2 linked regions of the Kluyveromyces lactis genome follow. The main gene of each other region encodes a partner of the protein of the gene in region 2 in a complex. Links are inferred from orthologs where the notes say so. Each region holds a gene or a part of one and is shown on either strand. Other genes may lie near its edges.

Region 1 (4,442 bases), on a different chromosome or scaffold from region 2:
ACATCAACATCCCATGCATGATACCGATGGAACCTTCACGTTCATCAGTTTACCATCTCGGGTAATTAGAAACTTCGAAGTTGTTAACATCATGAATAGAGCCAGAACAAAATATACGGAAGATATGCCTTTGTCTGCGCTGAGACTATCATGTAATCCCATCGTCTACGATCAAGACTACATATGGACGGTAGGAGGTCTTATAACGGATACGGAAAGCTGTGATGTTTTCCTACGTGGTGCAATATCATTGGTAAACTTACCATTGATTGATATCCCAGGTGTATAATGACGGACTTTTCAACGGAGATATGCTGAAAGTATTTATGACATCCGTACTGTCTGCAAACAGCAGTTCAAATTCGTGAATCGTCAGAGTTGACAGAACGACTACTAGACTATAGCGCTTATTGATATTTAAACTACGAAGCGCGACCCATGCTGTTGTATTCATCACTTCTAATCTTAATGAAAAGACTTGAACAAGATTAAAATACCAGTGACTGTCATATTTGTTTGCACCCGTACATATTCCAAAATCCTCCTCAAATCTGAAGAAAACTAAAGAATTTCCAAATATGGCATCTACACGTCAACATAGTACGCGCCACCACGGACTAGTCTTAAGAAAAATGTTCACGAAAACACCTGGACATTACAGCGAAAGAAAAGGACGCAGTTGTTCTGCCCTCCGCTGTCGTCTGTTGATTCTGAAATATCTTAAGTGTTGAACGTATATAGTGCGCTAAACCTTAAAGTTATTTTTCACGGTGAATGGTGGAAGCTTTATATTTTGAATTCCCATGATTTAAGCTAATATGTTGAAGAGTATTGAATAAAACGTTTCGGATGGTCTTCTTATTAGTTTAGTATGTTTTTAGTTTTATGTTATTCTAAAGTCTTCACGGAGCAGTACCACTGTCGAAGAAGTCAATACTTTAGAAAATTTTATCAAATTAGAAATGTCTGACGTTGAAGAAGTCCAACAAGTCCCAGTCGCTGAATTGACCATCGAAGATGCCCTAAAGGTCGTCTTGAGAACCTCTTTGGTTCACGATGGTTTGGCCAGAGGTTTGAGAGAATCTGCCAAGGCTTTGACCAGAGGTGAAGGTCAACTAGCTGTTTTGGTTGAATCGGTTACTGAAGAAGCCATCAGCAAGTTGGTCCAAGGTTTGGCCACTGAAAACAACGTTCCATTAATCAAGGTTGCTGATGCCAAGCAATTAGGTGAATGGGCCGGTTTGGGTAAGATCGACCGTGACGGTAACGCCAGAAAGGTCGTCGGTGCTTCCGTTGTTGTTGTTAAGAACTGGGGTGCTGACACCCAAGAAAGAGAAATTCTTTTGGAACATTTCAGCCAACAATAAATGAGTGGATTTTGAATCTATGTTCAAATCCAATTTAACGCTTCTGTTTTACTCATTTTTCTCATACTCAACAATAACATAAACAGATTTCTTCATGGGAATATGGACATTGTTTGGTTTGATAAAATGCTCTATTTTATAGTTTGTATATATATTCTAGGGTATCTATATGTTTACAAATAGTTTCCATCTATACCTAAAATGACGTTAATTCCAACCTGATTAATTCAGCTTGTCGAAGCAGGGTTGCGCTAGAAGAATAGCGGCAAATCTTGCGAAGCAGCTTCATACCCGTCACTATTTTCCTCTTCTTTATCGTCATGTGCAGTTTTCTTCGGCGGTTGTTGTGTATTGGGAAGGAAATTATGGCGCGATTCACTTCCCATATATTCAATCATCATTACTTTTATCTCATTTACGTCTGGAAGCTCTGGAAGAGCTTTCTCAAGCATGCATATCTCAATAATTATCCCAGGATAATGACTTGGTAGATTGTTACCTGAAATGGCTCTAGTCCTCTTATACTCCTGGTCATTAGGTCTTAGTATATCCTTCGTTTCATTCAATATATTAACAGTCATCAAACCATGTACATCTCTACGTATCATGATTTTTGAAGCAATCCGAGCACTGGCTCGTATTTTGTCTAGCATTCCATAATCAAAAACACTTATCATTGGATGATCATATAAGAGGGTGGTTGAATCATTTGCGTATATTTCGAACTTCTCTAAAATCGATCTCTCATTAGGTAATATGATCTTAGATAAACCTTGTTGAGATCTTGAAATCAATGCGAATAAGGGCTTTTTGGTGGTTTCGTTATGTATCGCATAAAAATAGCAATCTTTGCATCCAATTTCCTTCAAATCGTGTAAGGCATTGTGTAAGACATCCCCTTTTATTATGCATTCGAATTGCAGTCGCGTTCTATCTAGTACCAACCCAGTGTTGTCTAAGTCTTTGAGCAGATATGTTGAGTATTCGACGCTTTCAGTGATCATGTTATCTTCGAATATTAATATGAATGGGGATCCATCCCCATTATATGTTAAAGTACACTCAATTATATCGTTCCGATCGTTACTGATATTCAAACTATCCAATACATGGTCAAGCCGCAGGGATACCTTGGTCAAAGATGTTTCAGTTATCGGGCTATAGTGAAAGGTTTGAAATAACTCCCGTGAAAGAACCAATTGGATCTTGATTACATGATTGTTTTCTTGGGCAAAGGACAAACCATTTTTATCTATGGTGATGAGCATTTCACCTTTCACTCCAAAAGGTGTTAAACAATTCAAAGCCGTCACAATATGATCCAAATGGACAGTCGTCGCATAAAAAATAGGAGAATCTATCATTGTGGGTTGCCGAAAGATTAAGGGTTCAAGATGTTGACGGTTCTCTGGTTTCTACTTATTTATGTATTGTACATACTGATATATTGTTTATAAAAACAAGTGAAATGGAATCAAAATCATAAATAGAAACCTCATTGCCATTATATGCGAGGAGATAAGGAAACCACCAATTGGCTAAACAAGTCCCTTATGAAGCAAGCCCGGCAAAAGAAGCTTTCGATTATAGCTGTTGGGGTATTATCGACAGTGGCAGTAACTGTAGGTTATTTATTATATCTGTATCGTGGCCAGCGAAACCCGAATATAAGAGACGTAAAACCAAAGTCGAAATGTTACGTTCTTACACAAGACTTGTTCGATAAGATCGAAAATTGGCAAGAAGAACTATCAAAAGACAGCGTAATGTTAGTTTTACCAGAAGTTGCCCACTTAGGAAATCATTTAAAGTTACAGCTATCGTCTATTGAACATAAGATTGTCATCTTTAACAATTCATCGGCCGTTTGGAGTGCAGTTAGGCATTTAAAGAAATACGAGTTGGTAATAAGTCGTGATAAGACTTCTGATATGCCAGTAGATCTCAGGAGGTATGTGGGACAGATTTCGCACATTTGAAATCTGAAATTTACATCAGTTTTAATGTATGCTATTATAATAGTACTATAATGTTTACATCGTAAACTTATCTCTAACAGAACTTCTGGCTGAATGAAATGGTTAGAAATCTACCATATTGAAATTTGCTATTGAACTGCAATGCATACTATGCTTGATGTTCGTGATTGTGTATTCTACAAATAAAGAGTACTCGGCTATAACAACAACATGCAAGCTGAAGGACTTTATTAAACAATCAAGTACTGTAAAAGCAGAAAGCCGACATACGCATTGTATCACCCGAAGAAGGTTACTAGATTTCTCACATCCTTACTCCTGCCTCAACATGCACTGGAATCAATATAAAAAAAAACAGCATTCCTTAACAGAATGGCCTCAATGATATAATATTAGGAACTGTCTTAGAGACAGGATGGTATAGCACAGCATAGGGCCGAAATAAAATGTTATCGCCAATTTCAAAACTGATCTTCATTACCTCTTTATTTTGGCGCTTATATAATTGATCCTAAGGACCAAAGGATAGTGCAGTGAAGTGTAGCAAGACAATGTTCTTTTGAGGAAATAATTGGACTGACAGTTATTAACTGATATTTCAGCAACTTAAAAGAAAGAGTGGCTTGTTAATGCTATTTGATATGCAGGATCAACAAAGCCATAGTAATAGCTTCCACGATAACACAAGAAATTTCTGCTTATGTGTCTTTGGAGCTATTTATGGATTGTGAAAGGCTCTATTCGTACTCGTCCACATAGCGATGCCCCATTTTCAAATATACAATATTTCCATAAAATGACGTTCTAGAAATGTGGATATATGCAGTTGAAAAGAACAGAGCTTTGGGTAAATTTGTAGAAATTGACGAACGATTTACAGAATGATAGTTGCTCCATCCCAAAATTATACACTCCTACTAAAGGTAACTCATAGTGGGTAGATAAATCTTTTGTTTTCAAAATCGGTAAGATCTAGCATGGCTAGATTAACTCTTTCGTTGACTCCTTCTGTGAAAGAAACAATACCAAAGTTGTCTTCTGGATGTTCTTGAACCCATTGATACCTTTCTTTGTTCCTTTTCGCCAAAATGTATCT
Region 2 (5,301 bases):
TGAAAAGAAATTTCCTACGTTCACATACATAATGTTCTGGAGAAAGGTGTTGAAGTTTTAAACCGGTAACTGATGCTTCGTAAACCGTGAAACATATTCTGAAATATGTAACAGTCAAACAGGCTCATAAGGGTCCCCGCAAGTCATTCCACTGGTGCTATAGCTTTTACGCAGTGTCATCTATATCACGTGACCTTACTGATATACGTCTTCTTATTACCAATCATAAGAGAGACGGATTTTGACCAAGTTAACCACTGAGAGTAATCAGAAATCTATCCCCCAATATGTCGGCTTATAAGTTGGTGGTTATGCGGCCCCTCCATGTATGTAGTTTTATACCTCTTACTTCCATCAGCTGTGCAGTGGGTAGTCTCTCACCAACGGGTTTACCAGTGAAAATCGTATTGCAGCGGTGAATTTTTCAAGCTTCGAAACCTTGAAGACTTTTAAAGCTCAACAAAAATGTTTAAATGTTTTCAGAAAAGATTTAAAGGTACATTGAAGAACTTCTTGGTACTCGATCTGAGTTATTAGTTGGCCTCTCGTTTTCCCATTCATTCATTGTTATCCTTCTTTTTTTAGTTTGGTTTACGTTAATATTAACTCAGTAAATTATACTTCGGCAACAGTTTATAATCCCTGAATCATGTCCCAACCAGTACAGAGAGCTGCTAGTCAATCTTTGATTTCCAAATACATTAACAAGGAAACTTTAAAGTATGTCTTCACCACACATTTCTGGGGTCCAGTTTCAAACTTCGGTATCCCAATTGCTGCCATCTACGATTTGAAGAAGGATCCGGAGATGATTTCTGGACCTATGACGCTGGCTCTAGTGATGTACTCTGGTGTGTTTATGAGATATTCCCTAGCTGTTACCCCAAGGAACTTCTTGTTATTCGGTTGTCACGTTGTGAATGAAACAGCCCAACTTGTGCAAGGTTACAGATATTTAAACCATCATTATCTAGGTGGCAAGAAAGCTGACGCTACTGACGCCAATGTCGCCAAGACAGCCTAGATGCAAGAGAAAATGTAACCTGCCGACAAAACAACATTCTTTCTCCCATGGCTTAGATTACACTACTGTGTAGGTCTGTTATCTAAGATTTAATGCTAAGTTTATTTACGTACTGTATATTATATGTCTATATGTTCAATTACAGTTTATGAATTCATTTCGAAATGAAAAATAAAGTACTTCTTTCGTTCTTTATTATCAAGAGTCGAACAAACCTTTAGGTCTGTCAGCTTGTGTGGGACCCATGCCATCATCTTCTTCCTGTAGATTGAGATCTTCTTGGATTGCTTGTCTTTTCAAATTATTTAGATAAGCAGCCTTGTTCATTTCTCTTTGATGAGATTCATCTGTACCGACATTGTTCGATTCAATTGTTCCTCCCCATTCGACAGTTGTTCTCATTCTCTTTACTGGCTCGCTAATTGACGGCTCGGTTGTTGTGTTCGATGGTGTTGACTGGGAGCCAGTGTTTGAATTGGGAGTAGTGTTACTATTTTGTTTCCCCCACCTTTTAAACCTGAATTGCCTTCCTTCTTCGTCTTCGTCATCATCATCTGCTCCATCCTCATCCGTTATAAATAGTGAGCGTTTTGTATGTGGATACAGCATCTGCTTACTTTCCGGCCTTTGAAGCTTATCTGGTTTCACTACGGTATCCTTCTTGATTGGTGAAACTATCTTTTCTGGTGACAGGTTAAATTGGGTGACAGAATCCTCTGGTTCTTCGACCCTACCCTCGGTATCAGTTACCTGCACTAATTCCAATACAACCCCATCTTTTGTTATTTCAAAGAGAATGGGGTCACCAGGTTGGCAAAACCAGATTCTTATCATGTCATTTGTTTTCCAACAATTAAGTCCATTTAAGAATACTTTGAAATCTCGTAATTTGAACGTAATGCTCTTCTTAATACTTTGTGATCTGCTTGAAGGTCTCGAACCGTCGTTTTTTTCTGTTGAAAATATGCAGTAATGTTCTAGATCATTTGCGCTACATGTATTCGTTACTGTAACTGCTTGTTTGAGGTACCCTTGACTTTTCATGTTGTACACGGCTTTTGTAAATCCTATTATGGCTAGAGTATGTCTCGTCAATTCCAATTTTATTTCCTCGATCACATTAGACATAATAGAGTCAATGAAGTTTCTTAGTATTGATTGATCAAAACTTAAGAAGTTGATTTCGTCGTTAACCGTCAACGGTGTATTTTTCACTGTGCTCACAATATTGTGTTCATTGGCGATACCTCTATTAAACATATCATGTTCTAATTCTGTTTGTAAAGATTTGAAATAATCCACTAACCGAGGATCTAATGATCTGCCCTTACTTTTGTTGTTGTATACTGAAAGGAATTTTTGTTTATATTTCAGACTTAATATGATCTGAACACTTTCCAATGGATCAAAATTAACTTGATATTCTTTAGTTAGCAAAGATGCTGTCTTCATTTTGATTATGAGTTTGTTAGCTATAGTTTCAGAACAATTATCACAATTGTCGATAGTTAACATGTATTCTTTAATTGTATCCTCTTGTTTAAGTGATAATAGGGAAAGATACTTTGCATTCGCTTTGAAACTATAAATTGTGTGAAGAATGTCATTACAATCGGTGATCTGCTGCACTCCAGATTCACCAAATACAATCTTCTTCGGCTCGAAGTGATACTCTGTAAAGAACGACTTAGGAAATCGTACCTTGGCCATGGTCGTGTCTGTTGCATTCATGGATGATATCAATACACCATTTTCGGTGATTGTTATGAAGACATCAGGGTTTATTTGAGAAAGAGTTGCCAAGCATTTACCCCATATGGTCTGTTCATTCGTGCTGTTTATGGAAGCACGAAATGACATTGCAATGGCCTGTTGTCACAACTTCCAGTCAGAATCCCTTTATCTGGCGGTGATAAAAAACTCTTCACTAGATCTAAAGTTCGTGTTTTTTCTTGCAATTACGTGATTTATCTTTTTACAGATTAAATATTTGAACCTATGTCTATAAAGAAATAGTGCGAATGGATTAGTGATTATATTAATCTGTTATTATGATTCGTTTGGAGCTAGAGAAATTGCTGGAGTTGAAGCTTTTTCAGCGGGCTCTTTATATTTTTTCTTAGTCTTTTCCTTCTTACTGCCATCTTTGGTTTTCTTCTTCTTTTTCTTTTTAATAACTATGACTTCTTCTTTGTCATCTTGGATGGCTGTTAAATTGTCACTAATGTGTTGTTCTGCAAGTTTATTTTTTAGCTTTTCCAACTCCTCTTGATCAACAGTGTATTCACCGTCGTAATCAATGTTATCCTTTCGACTAAAATCAAAAGATTTGAATTTATTCGATGTGGAAAGAGTTATCGCATCTGAATGCCCAGAAGTATTTGATTTCTTCTTCCCCTCCTTTGTGATAGTGGATGGTGGAGCCACTACAATATCTGACAAAATTTGTACAGATGGTGACTTATTAGATTTCTTCTTTTTCGTCGAAATTTTGATGACGGGTTCGATTGTTTTTGTTTCACCCTCATCATCGTTATCACTCAATTCTATCAATTTCGTTTCTGCACGGTCAATTTTATCATCATTCAAATAAAACGGATTATCCAACCTCTCTTGTCTTCTGCGCTCTTCTAAAGCAGCAAGTTCTTCTTCTGTCATTGAAATGTCTTTCTCTGACGAGATATCCTGAGTTACAGATCCGTCAGAACTTCCAGCGCTTGCAGCAGATTTAACGCTCTCCTTGTCGGAATAATATGCAGCTTCATCTTCATATAGTTCTTCATTTTTCATTAATTCTTCGAGTTCAACAGAAGATAAAAATGGAGTGTCTAAATCGAGTGTTAACGCCTTAACCAACTGCTGTTGTTGTCCGTGTGACATTGGGCCAAGTTCATACTCATTGAAAAGACTAGGTAAAACGTCGGTAATTAATAGAGGTAACCCTTCCGTTTCATCTTGCAAAGCATCTTGACAGAGTTTTAACATTTCATAGAACTCTACGCTTCGTTCTTGTATATCAAAATTCGTTGATCTGTATTTTTGTTCCATGAATGCGATTAGTGTAGAAAGAAGATCTGATATTTCAGATTTGGTTCTACCCTCTGTGTTAGCATAGGTTGAGAATAATTTCACTAATGCAGGAATCATTGTCTGTATCACGGTGTCTGGAAGTTTATTGGCTTTGTTTAGGAGTATGCCAACGAGAGTGTCACAGTTATCAATTAACTCGGAATATTCCCCAAAGCACCATATTCCTTCCTTTAGTAGGTTAGGAAGCTTGGCGATAATATCATCGTTTGTAGTCAATTTGATTAATTGTTCTAAAGCCGCATCCCTCATGCTTGGAACTTTGACCATAATGTTTCTAAAGTTATCACCTAACAAAGTTGATACCTCTAAATTATTCAAATCTTGTGAAACTATACAGAGATCCGTCAATATTTTCAAGTACCAGTCGAAGTCACCATTGATATTCTCGTAATCATTTATACAACAGACATCTAAGACAGTCTTGGCAACTTTCACTTTATAGTTTAAAGGAATGTCTATTTGAACACCTTGATCATTGACATGCACTGTATCCACATCCACAAATTGCTTGATTAGAATTCTAACTAAATTTTTGATGTTGTCAGTTGATGCTATACCAGAGCATAATTCCAATACTTTGGTTCTGATCGATATATCCACATCTTTCAACAAGCCTATCACCAATTTATCATATTGCATAATGAATTCGAAGTTAATCTTACCAATATGATAGAACAACACACAACTGATGTATCTCAAGTTTGGATCAAGTGATTGGACAAGCGATTCCAAATGGTTCAAACACTGATGTGCGGTATCATAGTCATCTTCTTCCAGCATTTGACCCTTTACAATACAGTTGATCGATTCATAAATCACAGAAATGGCAGTAGTTTTATCCATCAATTCTAAAACTTTTGGTAGGATCTTATACCGTAGTTTTGGTTCTTCTTTCGAGAGACTGGTGAAAAGTTTCAACAATCTGATGATGATCCAATTGTTGTCAATTTGTATAAGCATCTCGTATAGAAGAGGAGAAAACTGTATAAATGGACCCGGGTTATGTTTCGCTAGCTCACAGATAACACTCACGGCAGCAGAGACAACCGAAGTATCCTCATCCTCAAGTGTTGAAACAAATTTGCTGAGGCCGTCTCTCAAGGATTCGGGATACTGTAAGAACACTTTGAATAGGGCAGTCACCGCTTTTTTTCTAACATATGGCTTACCACTGTTTAACATTAGAA

The links. The genes of interacting proteins can lie anywhere in the genome.
Region 1: DDC1 (region 2) and RAD17 share a complex: the UniProt entries of both Saccharomyces cerevisiae proteins name them as parts of the checkpoint clamp complex. The link is inferred for Kluyveromyces lactis from reciprocal best matches to the Saccharomyces cerevisiae genes DDC1 and RAD17.

Annotation. Positions count from the first base shown.
Region 1 is NC_006042.1:15,971-20,412, reverse strand, and holds RAD17 (Rad17p), read right to left. Parts: upstream 2,732-4,442; coding exon 1,619-2,731; downstream 1-1,618. Other genes in the region: GPB1 (Gpb1p), read left to right, coding at 1-289; RPS12 (40S ribosomal protein eS12), read left to right, coding at 963-1,367; ubiquitin-protein transferase activating protein PEX22, read left to right, coding at 2,876-3,346; KLLA0_F00286g (uncharacterized protein), read right to left, coding at 4,275-4,442. UniProt on the Saccharomyces cerevisiae protein: Component of the checkpoint clamp complex involved in the surveillance mechanism that allows the DNA repair pathways to act to restore the integrity of the DNA prior to DNA synthesis or separation of the replicated chromosomes.
Region 2 is NC_006041.1:1,722,877-1,728,177, forward strand, and holds DDC1 (Ddc1p), read right to left. Parts: upstream 2,885-5,301; coding exon 1,223-2,884; downstream 1-1,222. Other genes in the region: pyruvate transporter MPC1, read left to right, coding at 650-1,024; APL5 (Apl5p), read right to left, coding at 3,074-5,301. UniProt on the Saccharomyces cerevisiae protein: Component of the checkpoint clamp complex involved in the surveillance mechanism that allows the DNA repair pathways to act to restore the integrity of the DNA prior to DNA synthesis or separation of the replicated chromosomes.